Linked DNA regions of Tamandua tetradactyla. The protein of the gene in region 1 interacts with the protein of each later gene in a biochemical or structural test. Links are inferred from orthologs where the notes say so. Each region holds a gene or a part of one and is shown on either strand. Other genes may lie near its edges.

Region 1 (7,388 bases):
GCCTAGGTATGGATGCTAGTGCCTGCAACCTTTATGCACTGGTAACAGCCTGCAGGGAACAGAGAGGGGGAGGCAGTGCTTGGAAGGGGTGTAGGAGAAGTGGGTTGGGCTGTACTTGGGGTGTGGGTGTGGGGCAGGTACATGCACTGGGGGCTGGTGGGGTCAGGGTCCCTAGAGCACAGGGAATGGGTGCAAGTAAGGTTCAGGTGCATGGGGTGTGGGGTGTGGGGTGAGTAGCCGGTCATGGGGCTATGCCGGTGAGGGCAGTGCGCCCAAGGAATGTGTCCTGGCTTACTTCCTAGTCCCATGTACTTGTCTGTGCACTCCCACAGGCTCCACCACTCCATGCCTCCACACCAGGTTCCACCTTTCTGCCTCTCAGTTCTTTGGGCTCTGCAACCAGGGCTGCCACATGTGGTGCAGAAGGCTCTCCCAGGTCAGCTGCACTCCTGAATTGCTGCCTCAGTTATCCTCCTGTCCGTTCTTTAACTTCTCCATGGAGCAGGGCTAATCTCAAGCTGCTCTAGTTGGCCATCTTCCTGGAAGTTGGGGTTTGATTCTGAATCAGCTTTTATTAAGGGGATTTATTTAGTTAAAAATTTTTAGTTCTTCAGAAGAAAGGCAGCTAACTTTCATCTGATGTTCTCAGTTACATAGGAAAGCACATGGCAATTTCTGTTGGCCTTCTCTCCTGCCTCCTGTGTTCCATCGGCTTTCCCAGGGTGATTCTTTTCTGCATCTCCATATGTCTGGGCTGAACTGTGAGTGTGGAGATGAGTATGCTGAGCTGCTGAGCTCTCTTCTGACCTCTCTCTTTTAAGCCTCTAGTTAATTAAATTAAAGCTTACTTATTCTGGAAGCCACTCCTCCTGGCTGACTGCAAATATAATCAGCCATAGATATACCACTGATTTAAGTCCATAGAAACAGAGCAATAGGGCATCATCCCCTGGCCAAGTTGACACCTGAACCTAACTACCACACTTGCTTTTTCTGAAATGTCTGACTTGTTTCATGTTTAGTAAAATCCTCACATGGGGCACTATTCTCTGGGGTCTTCCTTTCTGGAAGCCCAGAATTTTCCAGACCACCAATTTCTGGTTTCTTTATATTCAAGAGTTCAGTGCTTAGCTTATCCCTTTCCTGTCACATTTCACTATATGCTGCAAGAGAAACCAGGCCACATTTTCCACATTTAGTTTGGATATCTCTTCTGCTAAGTACCCTGGCTCACCACTTTTAAATTCTGCCTCCCATCCAACACCAGTAGTCAATTTTCCCAGATTCTCTTTCACTTTTAAACAGGGGTCACCTTCCTTCCAGTTTGCAGTAACACATCCATTATTTCTGTCTAAGGTCTTATTGGAAGTATCTTTAGAATCCACATTTCCACCAACATTCTCCTCAAAGCATTGTAGGTCTTCTCTGTCAAGCTCCTCACAATTTCTCCAGAGTCTTCAACTTATCCATTTAAAAAGCTGTTCCAACATGTTGATCATTTGTGCACTCCAGCACCCCACTTCTCTGGTACCAAAATCTGTTCTGATTTGTTAAAGTTCATCATTAAAGGCCATAAAAATGTCCTAACTAAGGCATCCGTAAAAAGATACCTTGACTCAAGAAAGGCTGATATCTGTCACATCGGAAGGCACATGGCTAGCATCTGCTGGTCCTTGTTCTAAGTTCTGCTGCTTCCAGCTTCTGATGCTAGGGGTTTCCTCTTTAAGCCTCTATGGGCCTTCACTTAGCTCCTCTGAGACATAACTCTGGGTTCTGGCTTTCTTAGCATCTCATGGGAAGGTACATGATGACATCTGCTGGGCTCTGCATCTCCAAATGTCTGTATCTAGGTGTCTGCTTTCTCTGTTGGCACTCCAAGCATCTCCAAATGTCTGTGTCTCTGAAGTAACTGTGTTTTCTCCAAAATGTCTCCTCTTTTAAAGAATTTCAGTAAACTAATCAAGACCCACCTTGAATGGGCGGAGTCATATCTCCATCTAATAAAAATTGGGTGTGTCACATCTCTGTAGAGTAATCAAAAGGCCACACCCACAACTGAGTGGGTCAATCTCCATGGAAACAATCTAAGTTTTCCAGATACAATACAGAATCAGGATTAAAGGCCATGGCTTTTCTGGGGTACAGAATACTTTCAAACCAGCACAGAACCCACTAGCCAATGCAGAGCCTATTTGCAAAGACTGTAAACGGTGATTTTTACTTTGGTTTGTTTGTTTTAATTAGCTCCTGGCACTCAAGGAATTCTCTGTCATATCACCATCTGGAGACAAACTTAGGAAAAGACAGCTCATGTACTAAATACCAGAGATAACACTTTAAAAATATCAAAGTATACAGTGCACAACAAAAGATTTTAAGACAAAGAAACAAGAAATGTCCAAAGGAACAACATAAACTCTAGAAACTATCAATGAAAAGGACTGGACTTTGGACATAACAGACAAAGACTCAAAAAAAAGATCCTCATATATGCTGAAGGAGATAAAAGAAAACATGGAGAGAGGACTAAAGCATATGAGGAAGACAATGAATAAACAATTGGGAATCTCAATAAAGAGAAAGAAATTTTTAAAAAGGAACCTAACCGACAAAGTATAAAGCAAATTGGGTAGGTAGATGGAAATACTAGTTATCAATGAGAGGGATGGGTGAGGTGTATGACATGTATGAGTTTTTTCTTTTTTCTTTTTATTTCTTTTTCTGGAGTGATGCAAATGTTCTAAAAAATGATCATGATGATGAATACACAACTTTGTGATGATACTGTGAGCCATTGATTGTATGTCACATATGGAAAGTATGTGTGTGAAGATTTCTCAATAAAAATACTAAGAAAAAAAAAGGGAACCCAACAGAAGTACTGGAGTTGATGAATAACTGAAATGAAAAATTCCTAGGAGGATTTCAACAGCATAGAAGAACTGGCAGAAGAAAGAATCAGTAACCTGGAAGACAACACAATTGAAAAGATTAAGGAAAAGGGCCAAAAAGAAAAAAGAATATTAAAAAGTGAAAAATGGCCTAAGAGACATTTGGGACAACATCAAGCATACTAAATATATGCATAATGGAAGTCCCAGAAGGAGAAGAAAAAGAGAAAGGGGCAGAAGGAGTATTCAAATAAATAATGACAGAAAATTTCTGAAACTTGGTAAAATATATGAATATGCACACGCAAGTAGCACAGAGAACACCAAACGGGATAAATTTGAAGAAAAATGTACTCCATCACATATCATTCAAACTGTTAAATGCAAAGATCAAGTACAGAGGTTAGTTCTGAAAGCTGCAGGAAACAAGCAGTGAGTTATGTACAAGGGAGTCCCAATCAGATTGAACGCCAATTTCTCATGAGAAACCATGGGAGCAAGAAGGAAGCAGATTGCAATATTTTAAATGTTGAAGGAAAACGATAGCCAACAAAGAATTTTACATTCCGCAATCCTTTCATTCAAAAATGAGGGAGAGATTAAGTCATTCCTAGATAAAGAAAAGCTAAGGGAGTTCATGACCACTAGACCTTCCTTACAAACAGTGCTAAAGGCTGTTCTTCAGACTGAGAGGAAAGCACCCTAGACAGTGGTGCAAAGCAGCATAAAGAGATAAAGATTTGCGGTAAAGGTAATCATATGAGTAATTATAAATGGTGGTACAATTATATTGTATTTTTGGGGTATGCAACTCCACTTTTTACTTCTTACACCTTATTACAGGTTCTAAAATGTAAATGCATAAAAGTAATGATAAATCTATGGCTTTAGATATAAAATTTATAGAGATATAATTTGTAAAATGCAAAAACAAAATGGTGAGGGGACAGGAGTATATTTAGTAAAAGTACATGTGTATGCTAAAATGTAACTGCTGTTTTTTTTGCATACATTAGAGAACAGTTTAGACAAGTGGAGAAAAACTACACAATTGTTAAGACTTCTGTGTGCTTTCATAAGTCAAATAAAATGAAATATTCATTCTACACATCACCAATCCTCACCTCATTCCACCCTGTAAAAATTAAACATTTTCTACTTCCCTTAATTAAAAAGCAAACCAAAAAAAACCTCAAAACCCTCAGTCAAACATACCCAAATTTTTATCTGTGCAAGAAGGTACGTAGTTTTTCAAAATTCTTTTAGGCAGTATACCTGCAAATGGGTTTGGCGACCAAAGTCCTCGCGAAACCATCTACATAGTTTCCTGGGTCCCTCCCCTTAAGTATGTTTGGTTCCAAAGTCAGTGGCACGGCTGGCCCAGCTGGGTGACAAAACTAGCGTCTCTAGGAGCGCCTGGGCGACGGCCCCTTCGCGGCGGGGCGGGGCTCTCTGACACCTCCAGCGTGACTTCCCTTTCAGTCTTGCTCCCAAGTTGCCGGCAGAGCTTGGTCTGTCTTCCCGCCAGAGTTTTAAGTTTCATTTCCCACCGCGTCAGCTAGTTCCTCTTCCGCGTGGGCTTTTCCACTTGCGGAGTCTTCTCTCCCGGAGCCAGGAGAGTCCGCCATGGACATCGGCCGCGAAAAGGTGAAGCGGTTCGCCTCAAAGGCCGGAGCTTCCGCGCCCAAAGTCTCCGCGTCCAAAGACTCCGCGCCCAAAGGCTCCGCGGCCAAAGGCTCCGCGCGGAATGCGAGAAGCGCTCTGGAAGACCCCAACGAGTCTGCGTTCACCCCGGGGGTCGCTCAGCCCAGCGCCGGGAGATGCGGCTCCTCGGGATCCCTGCGGAAGAAGAGCGCCCCGGACCTCCAGGAAAGGCCAAAGGTTCGCGCGCGGGGGTCACGCACCAAGAAGGCACCTCTAGGAGCTGAGGATGCGCAGTCCTTGGGCGCTACCGGCGAGGCCTCGGTGGAGGAACAGGTGACTCTTGCGGACCTAGCTGTCCCGGGGACGCCCTTTCCCGGGGCTGGATCTGGCCGCCAAGAGCGCGCGTCCTCCGCTCTGGGGCGGAAACCCGAGCCAAGGCCCAAGGAGGTACCCATCCCCGGCCCGCTGGTCCCGGCGCCTCGCTTGGGCCGGAAGGAGGCGGTGCAAGCGGGCTGGAGGCCCCGCGCGGTGCTGGAGAAGTTGAAGCTGAGCCGCCAGGAAATCTCGGCGGCTGCTGAAATCGTGAACAGGATTTTGGACCATCTGGTGAAGAGACTGCAGAGCTGCGAGTCCGAATTCAAAGGCGTCGCGCTTCTGCGCACCGGAAGCTACTACGAGCGCGTGAAGGTGAGCTGTCCAGCGCCAGCCCTCCGGTTCCGCGACGTGCGGCCCCAACTTTCTCACCCTGCTCTCTCTCCCCAGCCTCTCCGATATTTACCCCCATCCACTCCTGGGCTCCCACTCCTTCACTTCCCTCAGGCTCTTGTTCTTCCGTGGCCTGTGACACAATTCTAGTTACAAGGACAAACATTTCCTTTGTTCATCCGACTATCCCACGATCATCCAACCAACCAATATGTAGTGCCAGCTACTCACGAGACACTGCTTTTGGATGAATTCCAATGTATAGATTCATTCATGCAGGCGCACTTGTATTGAGTTTTTATGTAACAGTGCTATGTACTTGGTGGTAAGTGAGGATCCAGGTCAGTTCTGACTTGCATGATTTGGATGGTCTGTGAGGAATTTCACGTAATTATTATATCTGAGAGACTTTTTACTGTGAGAAGGAGATATGTACTCTATAGGGAAAATATTTTCTGTCCCCTCCTGCATTTCTGATACAGATGTCATGGGAAGCTCAGTAAGTGAAGTTAAAGACATCAAAAGAAAAACTCATATTGGTATTAAAAAACATAGTTTGTAAATACACTGATATAGTTGCTTTTAAACTGTTCCAACTGTTTGTAGGTGGTTAAAGTCATTAAAATAGTCATTGCAGTATAAATTGATGTTCAGGAGTACGTTCCTGAAACTGAGTTGGCTGCCTGAGCAGTGGCAGATTTCTTTGATTGTGTTTTCAGCTGTCTGCCAGTTTTTTTGAGTGCTGGGTGGTGCACTTTAGATCTGTGTAAGATTGTAAGTAAAGTATGAACAGAAATAGAGGCTGATAGCATATCTTTATTAACTAGTTGTAATTTATTTTAGAGTTGCATATTCGCTTTATTCAACTAACTGCTCTCCTCTAGAAAAAGAGTGATTATCAAATTCTGGATTTAGGGCTTTAGGGTTATAAACTCTTAAGAGAGCAGGGCAAATATTATGCATCTTTGTATCACTAAGCCCAGTGGTATAGCAAGCACTCAAGAGAATGGACTGAATGAATGAATGGGCTCCAGGAGAAAGGATGGGTGATCTCTCTCAAGACCCATGCCTTCTCAGGGTAGCAAAGTCACATTTAATTCCCATGATAAGAATTTAACCTGGTAGCCTTCAGTGGAGATTAAACCTTTCATATATTTTTGATTTGGCCTCCCACCTAGATTGTACACTACATTATTGTGGAGTGCTTACACCAAAATGTTTGTACCCTCTGCAGCTGCTTATTTCAGTGGTGCTGATTTAGTGACATTTGTTGATTGTAAAAAAGGCAGTGTATGTAGGGAAAAAAGACGGTGTGTGTATTGGTCTTTGGATCTTAAACTCTTTTAGCACTGAAGACCACTCATAGTTCGGTCTAAAAGTTTCTTGAAAGCCACATGAGGAAAATTTCATAAGACTGTCTTGAGCATGATTCTAATTGTGTAAGTTTCAATTCAGTTCAATTATATAGAGGGTCCAAAGGAAAAAGAAAGTTGTTAGGACTAGAGAACAACAGGAGATTTAGAGAACAGCCTCCAATAGGATCCATTCTCCTTTTTTCTCCTTTTTTTGGTGGGGGAGGTAATCCGTGCATGGGCCAGGAATTGAACCTGGGTCTTCCAGGTGCATGGCAGGTGAGCATTCTACCACTGAGCCACCCATGTTCCCTCACTCTCCTTTTTAAAATCACATTGATGGAGCTAAATTTAGTAAATTTATTTAAAACATTTATTGATTATTATTATTATTATTATTTTACTGACTAAGCAAGAGGTAGTATATATGTAGGGTGGGGAGTTGGTGCTTAATGGGTGCAGAGTTTCTGTCTGGGGTTGTGATGGTTTGGAGGCAGCATTGTTCCAAGAAGATCATTTCCTTAATACTAATCCCTTCCTGTGGGTGTAAACCTGTTGTAAGTAGGACCTTTTGATTTGGTTATTTCAATTGAGACATGCTCCACGTGGATCTTAATCCTCTCACTGGAGTCCTTTATAAGAGGATAAACACACAGAGGCTCAGAGAGGAAGACACAGAACCTCAGAGAGAAAAACACAAAAAACAGAGAAAAAGACAGAAGCTGAGAGAAAAATCCACAGATCCTGAAAGAGAAAGACAGAGAAGTTGAAAGAGAAAGCCACAGAAACAGAGGGG
Region 2 (8,100 bases), about 98 Mb from region 1:
TAGCTTCTCTGTTCCTCATTTGTGAAATGCAGACAATAACAATCACATAAAGTCCTTAGCACAGTGTATGGCACATTATAAACATTCAATAAATACTAGCTTCTTTTATTATTATTATTTTTATTTTTATTTTTATTGGAGTAAGGGGAAGGAGGTGGAGTGGGCAGGGGGAAGGTGAAAGTTTAGGGCTATTAAACTGAGAATCCTTGCGATACTCAGACCAAGGAGAAGGAGAAATAAGACCGCTTTTATTTATTTTATTTTTCTCACTGGAATGAATATCTTTTATTCAGCATAATTTGTTGTAGGCATCACATAATATTAAACTCATGCTACCAGGATAAATTCAAACACCGCCCACAAGGCTTTCAGGATCTATGGAGTATTCGTGTATTAAAGCAGGGAAGCTATTCCTGGATATATTTTTGAAGCTGAAGTACTTCTTCCAAGTCCGTTAGTTCCAATTCCATTATTTCTGGGGAACTTTTAATAGCAAGAATATGAAGAAATAAACAGTGCTGATTCTCTAAGACTAAAGTTTTAGGAACGGACGATTGCTTTCCAGAAGAGACCATGAGAGTGACCGTATTTGTGAGAAAGGACAAGTGGCAGTCTTTCTTTAGCGTGCCTTATGAGCCCAATAGAAAGAACAATGGGGAATATGATCAGCAAGTTTATTTTAATTGAAGACGATTGCTGTCTTTTCACAATGAAAGTCCTCGGTGACTTCTTCAAAGAAAGTAGTAGCTCAAACATGAATTTTTTAAAAAATATCTGGAGCGCTCACTCTGGTCTAAATCTGTTCCAGGTATTCTTACAATAATCTTTTGAGATCAGAAGAAATCTTCCCATTTAATAGATGAGAAAACGGAGGCGTCTGTAAGTCATGTATCTAGCGAGAGATCGATGACCTCTAGCCAAAGACCACCAGAAACGCAACTGTGGTTGAACAAGTTGGCTTTGTTATTCCTTGCAGTGAAGGGGAAATGCAACCCATGGGAAACAACGGGACGTCTCAGTAATAGAATGTTAGAAAGGACTCATAAGTGGTCTTGAAGAGGATTTGTGGAAGTGGGGCATTGCTCTGGATTGGATGCCATGAGTGGGTATCTTTTTTTATTTAATTTATTCATTAATTTAAAAAATTAAGAACAAACAAAAACATTAACATATCATTCCGTTCTACATATATAATCAGTAATTCTCAATATCATCACATAGTTGCATATTCATCATTTCTTAGAACACTTGCATCAATTCAGAAAAAGAAATAAAAAGACAACTGAAAAAGAAATAAAACAATAACAGAAAAAAAAAAGATTATACATACTATACCCCTTACCCCTCACTTTCATTGATCACTAGCATTTCAAACTAAATTTATTTTAACATTTGTTTCCCCATTCCTTATTTTTATTCCATATGTTCTACTTGTCTGTTGACACGGTAGATAAAAGGAGCATCAGACAAGGTTTTCACAATCACACAGTCACATTGTGAAAGCTATATCATTATTCAATCATCCTCAAGAAACATGGCTACTGGAACACAGCTCTACATTCTCAGGCAGTTCCCTCCAGCCTCTCCACTACATCTTGAATAACAAGGTGATATCTACTTAATGTGTAAGAATAACCTCCAGGATAACCTCTCAACTCTGTTTGGAATCTCTCAGCCATTGAAACTTGGTCTCATTTCACTCTTCCCCCTTTTGGTCCAGAAGGTTTTCTCAATTCCTTGATGCTGAGTCTAAGCTCATTTCAGGATTTCTGTCCCACGTTGCCAGGAAGGTCCACACCCCTGGGAGTCATGTCCCACATAGACAGGAGGCGGGTGGTGAGACTGCTCGATGTGCTGGCTGGAGAGAGAGGCCACATCTGAGCAACAAAAGAGGCTCTCTTGGGGGTGAATCTTAGGCCTAAATTTTAAGTAGACTTGACCTGTCCTTTGTGGGGTTAAGTTTCACATGAACAAACCCCAAAACTGGGGGCTCAGCCTACAGCCTTGGCGGTCCACACTGATGAGCAGGTATCTTAATAAATCTTATCTAGAAAGAGGGAAAACTAGGCTGAAGCTAAAGCTGTAATTGGTAGAGACATAACAATTTCCATATGAACCAGGAGAGGGAAATGTTCGATTCTTTTCGTGGTTTGGACAATGCTCGTGTTTTGTCTGAGTTCAGACATGACTGTGGTATTGTCATCTTTCAAGCCTGATCCACAGAGTGGCCTTTTCTGATATTGATGGTCTATGAAATTGTCTGTGTTTAACAGAACAACAACGCAGGCAATCTGTGAGTGCCAGTTCACAGTAACTCAAGGCTTGGGTGCCAGGCAGATTCCTAGTGTCAGGAGCTACTTTTCTCTCTGAGAGGCTGGACTCCAATCCAGATTTTCCTAACTGGAAACATTCCCTGTGCTACCCCTTGTTCATAGGAACCACAGAGAAGGCTGATAATTGAGGAAACTCAGAACACCAGCCTCTGGGAGCTAAGCAGATTCATCTCTCAGTTAATTTCATCTATTAGCTTCACCCCAAGTCAGGCCCAATCTCTTATAGTGTCTGGGATCATTGTATACGCTTAATAAATGTTTACTGAAGGAATAACATGACGAAGATGGTGTTCTAGTTTGCTAGCTGCCAGAATGCAATATACCAGAAACAGAATGGTTTTAAAAAGGAGGAATTTAATAAGTTGCTAGTTTACAGTTCTAAGGCCAAGAAAATGTCCCAGTTAGAACAAGTCTATAGAAATGGCCAATCAAAGGCATCCAGGGAAAGACACCTTGGTTCAAGAAGGCTGATGAGGTTCAGAGTTTCTCTCTCAAGTGGAAGAGCACATGGCGAACCCAGTCAGGGTTCCTCTCACATCTGGAAGGGCACATGGCAAACACGGCGTCATCTGCTAGCTTCTTCTCTTGGCTTCCTGTTTCATGAAGCTCCCCGGAAGGCGTTTTCCTTCTTCATCTCCAAAGCGCTGGCTGATGGACTCTCTGCTTTGTGGTGCTGCAGCGTTCTCTTCCCTCTTTGAAACTCTCATTCTCCAAAATGTTTCCTTTTTTATAGGACTCTAGTAAACCAATCAAGACCCACCCAAATGGGTGGAGACACGGCTCCCCTAATCCAGTTTAACAACCGCTCTTAATTGGGAGACATCTCCAGGAAGATGATCTATCTACAGATTCAGACATACAGTATTGAATAGGGATTATTCTGCCATTTTACGAAATGAGATTTTGATTAAAATATGGCTTTTCTAGGGGTCCATACATTCTTTCAAACTAGCATAGATGGGTATCAAGAATTCAAGAGAACAACCGCCTGGGTTGAAATCCCAGCTCTACCACCTATCGGTATGTGACATGAAAACTTAACTTTTTATAGAATGATAAAATCGTGCAAACTTTTAAACCTTAACCCATTTGTAAAATGGGGTAAGCACCAAATGCACTCATAAGGCTGCTTCCTGTGATGATCAAATGAAACATTCTGTGTACTGTGCTGAAAAAGGCTCACTAAATGTTAGCTATGATTATTTTAAGTAGCCAATTAGTTGAGTGATTACATGTGTAATATATTTCCCACTAGATTTGCAAGCAAAGATCTTGTCTCTTGCTGTATAACCAGTCCCGGGTACAGGAGTTGGCATGTGGAAAGCAATTAATGTTTGATAGATAAATATATGAATGAGCTAGGACCCAGGCAATTCCACACTTCCCATTTCTTGGCAAGTTTTTCTTTTTATTTCTTTTTTCACAGAAAAGTCACAAAATTTATACAAGAAACCCCAAAATATGCTTTAACTAGATTTTCTTTAAAATTGTTTACATTTTGCTTTATTTGCTTAACCATTCTACATATCCATATAAATATACCCACAACACTTTTCTGAATTTTTAAAAGTTGGTGACATTGTACCCCTTACTTCCTAAATATTTCAGTGAATATTTCCAAAGAACCAGGATGTTTTCTTAATATAACACAGTACAATGATAAAAACTCAGAAAATTTAACATTGATACCATACATATTAGTAGTTATTCTGCAACCCTTATTCAAATGTCATCACCTGTGCCAGTATTATCCATTACAACTATTTTTCCCTTCTAACCTAGGATTCAGTTTAGCACTGCACATCACATTTAGTTGTCATGTCTCTTTAGTAACCTTTTGACTGCAAAATTTCCTTAGTTTTTCTCTGTCTTTCATGCCCCTGACATTTTTGAAGAGTATAGGTCAGTTATTTTGTAGAATGCCTCTTGATTTGGGTTTGTCAGAGGCTTCCTCCTGAGGTTGGGACTATGCATTTTCAGCAGAATTATCAGAGAAGAGATGCTGTGTCCTTTTCAGTGTGTCTTATTAGGAGACACATGATATCCACCTGACCCTTTCCTGATTATGTCAACTGTGATTACTTTGATCATTTTTTTCTACTAGGTTTTTGCCTCTATAAAATTACTCATTTTCCCTTTGTCATTAATTGGTAATTTATAGGAGACCCTTTTATTTTGTAAGTATCCTATGTCTCTAGTTTTGCCATCTACTGTTGATTTTCTAATTCTATCATGATTATTAGTTGGCATTCTACTATAAGAAAGAACTTTCCCTTCTTCCCCTTTCATTTACTTACTCACGTCTTTAGGTCAGTAAAGACTCATGGATTACTACTTTACTCACTTGGCTATAACCCAATAATATTATGTCTTTTGATGCCCAGATTATCCTTTTGAGTTAGCTCCTGTGTCCTAGGACACTTCCTCACATTCTTGTGCAACAGATGTTTTAGGCTCATATGAGGCTTTCCTCGTCCCAACCCTACAATCGACTTCTTCATGGAACCCCGATTTCAGGTTACGTGGGAAACATTCAATTGTCCCTGCATTCCTACGCTTCCTGCCGGCAGACGGAACCTTAGATCCGGGGGCCTAGGCAGGAAGTCAGTGCGTCGGACCCACCTTTTCCAGTTGGAGCCGGAAGTCCCTGTAAGGGGGGGCGGGTCCGCGTCAGGTGACCGGAGTTCGCGTGGGAAGGATCGTAGGTCCGTCCGGACCAACTGACTGGACAGACGGCAAATAGGCCACCGGCTGGCGTGTCCTTGGTGGCGTTATCTGCGCGGAGGAAGCAGGTATGTGGGAGCCGGGGCAGTGGCTAGGGACCGTCGAGGTTGGGGATCGAGGGACTATGTTGGGACTTCCGGAGGGCCGCGGGTCCCAGCGACAGCAAGCCCAGCCTTGCCCCGGGCCCTCCGCCTCAGCAGGTAGGTCGTGTTGACGTTGTGGTCTTCTTATGATTACAGATTGAGGAAACTGAGGCCCGAGAAGGAGCGGGGCTCCCGCGGGCTGTCCCATCCAGGCAGAGACTTACCTTACCCTAAGTTTCTTTTTGGCCCCCGCGCGGGGCTGCTTTCCTCAAGTGAAGGGACTTTTAACGAGTTTGTCCCGAGTGGAAAATCCGAGGCCGGGAAGCGTGTTGAACAGAGTTGTTTGGGAGTCAAAGACGTAAATTCTAGAACTCGCCGCTCACAGCTGGTTGTGCAGTTTTGACCAGATCCCTTCCTTGTGCTGGACCTCAGTTCCTCGCTTGTAAAGTGGGACAGTGTTTCTTTTTTTAAAAATTTTTTTTGTTTTTATTTTTTTTTTTACATGGGCAGGCACCGGGAAAACGAACCCGGGTCCTCAGACATGGCAGGCAAGCACTCTTACCTGCTGAGCCACTATGGCCTGCCCGGGACAGTGTTTCTCTTAATATGGTTGTACACCAAATGCTTCGAGATCTGCCAGGATACATGCTTTAAGATATAGATTTCTGGGCCGCATTTCAGGCCTCTGATTTAGAATCTCGATAGAAACTTGGGATTCTGCAGTTTGAACGTACTCTGGGGCATCCTGCAAGTACTGATTTTTGAAACCCATCGATCTTAAGTACTTCTTGCTGTGAAGACTTGATATCCATTTTTCGCTTTGAGGCAGCTGGAATCTGCAGAATCTTGAAAGAATGGGATGTTTAGTTGAGAAAAGACAGTACTGGAAGGGTACTGTGTTCAAATACTGAAGAATTACTATGGCAAAGAGGGCTCCTACGTCATCTTTGAGGATGAAAGAGACAGAACTAGGACCAATAGGTGAATTCTACTGGAAGATGAGATTTTGACTTAATAGAAGGATTTAATGGAGGAACTGTCAGAGGTGACCATCAATGGAATGGATTACCTCAAGAGGAAGAGAATTCTCTCTTGACAGAAGTTTACCAGTATTAGACTGAAGTCCTTTCTAACTTGAAAGTCTCTGATTCTAACTAGTTATTTTGACTCTTTCTGATACTGACTCTGCCCACAGGGTAAATGTGTTGTTTCTTTTTTCTGCCTCCTTTTCTTGAACCCCACCCCCACTCTCCATGCAGATCTCCTGGGAGCAGAGTCTTATGACCTTAAGTAATTTTTTCCTCCTTGTTCTGTGAACCATTCTTCTTTTCAGGGACTTTGGAATGGCCCAACATCTGATCCTGGCTCCTTAAATGTTTACTGAATGAAAGCAGGATGTGTTCCCCATTGTTTAGTAGCTTATTTTCTAAGGACACCTTAGAAATGCCCTTAAGTCTTTGCATTTGATCAGGAAAAGCCAGTGAGCTCTTTGGATCACAGAATTGAGGACTCTTGCTTGGAAGGGCCTCTTGAGGTTGTTCAGGCCAACTTCTCCTTCCTGGGACATAAATCCCTTTTTAATCCTCTCTTTTGCAGTGTGTGGTGTATTGTGCCAAATGAGAGAATTTTTGCATTTTGTTGCTAACTTTTCATCCAGTATAAAAAGTCAGTTTTCTGGATTTGACTTGCTGGTTCATTCTCACTTACATGTAATCTACGTATAATGTTTCTAGTATTTCATTAGTTAATCAAACATCAAAACTCCTTCCAAGTAGATCACTTAAAAGCCTGGTAGAATGTTTAAGTTGCTCTATGGGCAGAGATTCCATGTTATGACCCTATTCTGCTGACCTGCCAAAAAAAAGGTTGGGATTGAGCCAAGACTTCCTGCCTGTGTTTATCTACTTGCTTGTTTATGTTTCCTAGGACTTAAAAAAATTGTGAAATATTTGTTCAGATATTATCTAGGTGCTGGGTACAGTGATTTTAATTTGGTGGTGGGGAGATAAGTATTTTTGAAACGTCTCAGTTTGAAAGTTCCCCTTTGAAGAAGTACCTAAATTGGCTTTTCTTAAGTGTGTTCTTCAGACCAGTGGTCTGAAGAGATGCCTCTGAAAAAAATGGTTCTGTGGTAAAAATAAGTTTGGGAAAAATTTTTTACTATTATCCCTTCTTGGAGGTTCTCAGTGTATAGTACCACGTTAAAAGCGCTGGGAAGTCCTACAATAATTTTGTTTAATGTAGCTTTGTCAAGCTTATTTGATATGAAACTTTTTTTTTATGAGGCACACATTGGTATATTCTGACCTAAAGCGCAGGGGTCTGCAAACTATTGCCTTAAGGACCAAATCTGGCCATATTGTCTATTTATGTATGGCCCATGAGGTAAGAATGGTTTTTACATTTTTAAATGGTTGATAATAAATCAAAAGAAGACAGTTTCATGATTGTGAAAAATTATGGAAAACTCAGATATTAGTATCCATAATAAAGTTTTATTGGAACTCAGTCACACCCATTCATTTACATGTTATCTTTGGCTACTTCAATGCTACAGCTGCAGAGGTGAGTATATGCCTGAGAGAGCATATGGCACACAAAGCCTGAAGTATTTATTATTATATGACCCTTTACAAAAAAAGAAAATTGCTGACATCTGACATGCATTATTATAATTTTTAACTTTTTGTTTTGAAATAATTTTTGACTTAAAAATGTCACAAAAATAATACTCAAAGTTCCTGAATACCCTCCAGCTATCTTCCCCTAATGTTAACATCTTATGTAACCATATTAAAATTATCTAAACAAGTAAATAAACACTGGTGCAGTGCTACCAACTAATCTATAGACCTCATTCAGATTTTGCCTTTTGTTTCGCTAATGCCCTTTTTCTTGTCCAGGACCCAATTCAGGATCCTACATTGCATTTAGTTGTCACATCTGCCTAGTCTTTTCCA

Evidence for each region.
Region 2: of the proteins of CGAS (region 1) and RNF185, one has a biochemical effect on the other in vitro, tested with the Homo sapiens proteins (2 studies listed by BioGRID). The link is inferred for Tamandua tetradactyla from reciprocal best matches to the Homo sapiens genes CGAS and RNF185.

The regions. Positions count from the first base shown.
Region 1 is NC_135331.1:129,402,293-129,409,680, reverse strand, and holds the start of CGAS (cyclic GMP-AMP synthase), read left to right. Parts: upstream 1-4,355; 5' UTR 4,356-4,517; coding exon 4,518-5,222; intron 5,223-7,388. UniProt on the Homo sapiens protein: Nucleotidyltransferase that catalyzes the formation of cyclic GMP-AMP (2',3'-cGAMP) from ATP and GTP and plays a key role in innate immunity.
Region 2 is NC_135331.1:31,604,514-31,612,613, reverse strand, and holds the start of RNF185 (E3 ubiquitin-protein ligase RNF185), read left to right. Parts: upstream 1-4,973; 5' UTR 4,974-5,125; intron 5,126-5,131; exon of another isoform or gene 5,132-5,257; intron 5,258-8,100. UniProt on the Homo sapiens protein: E3 ubiquitin-protein ligase that regulates selective mitochondrial autophagy by mediating 'Lys-63'-linked polyubiquitination of BNIP1.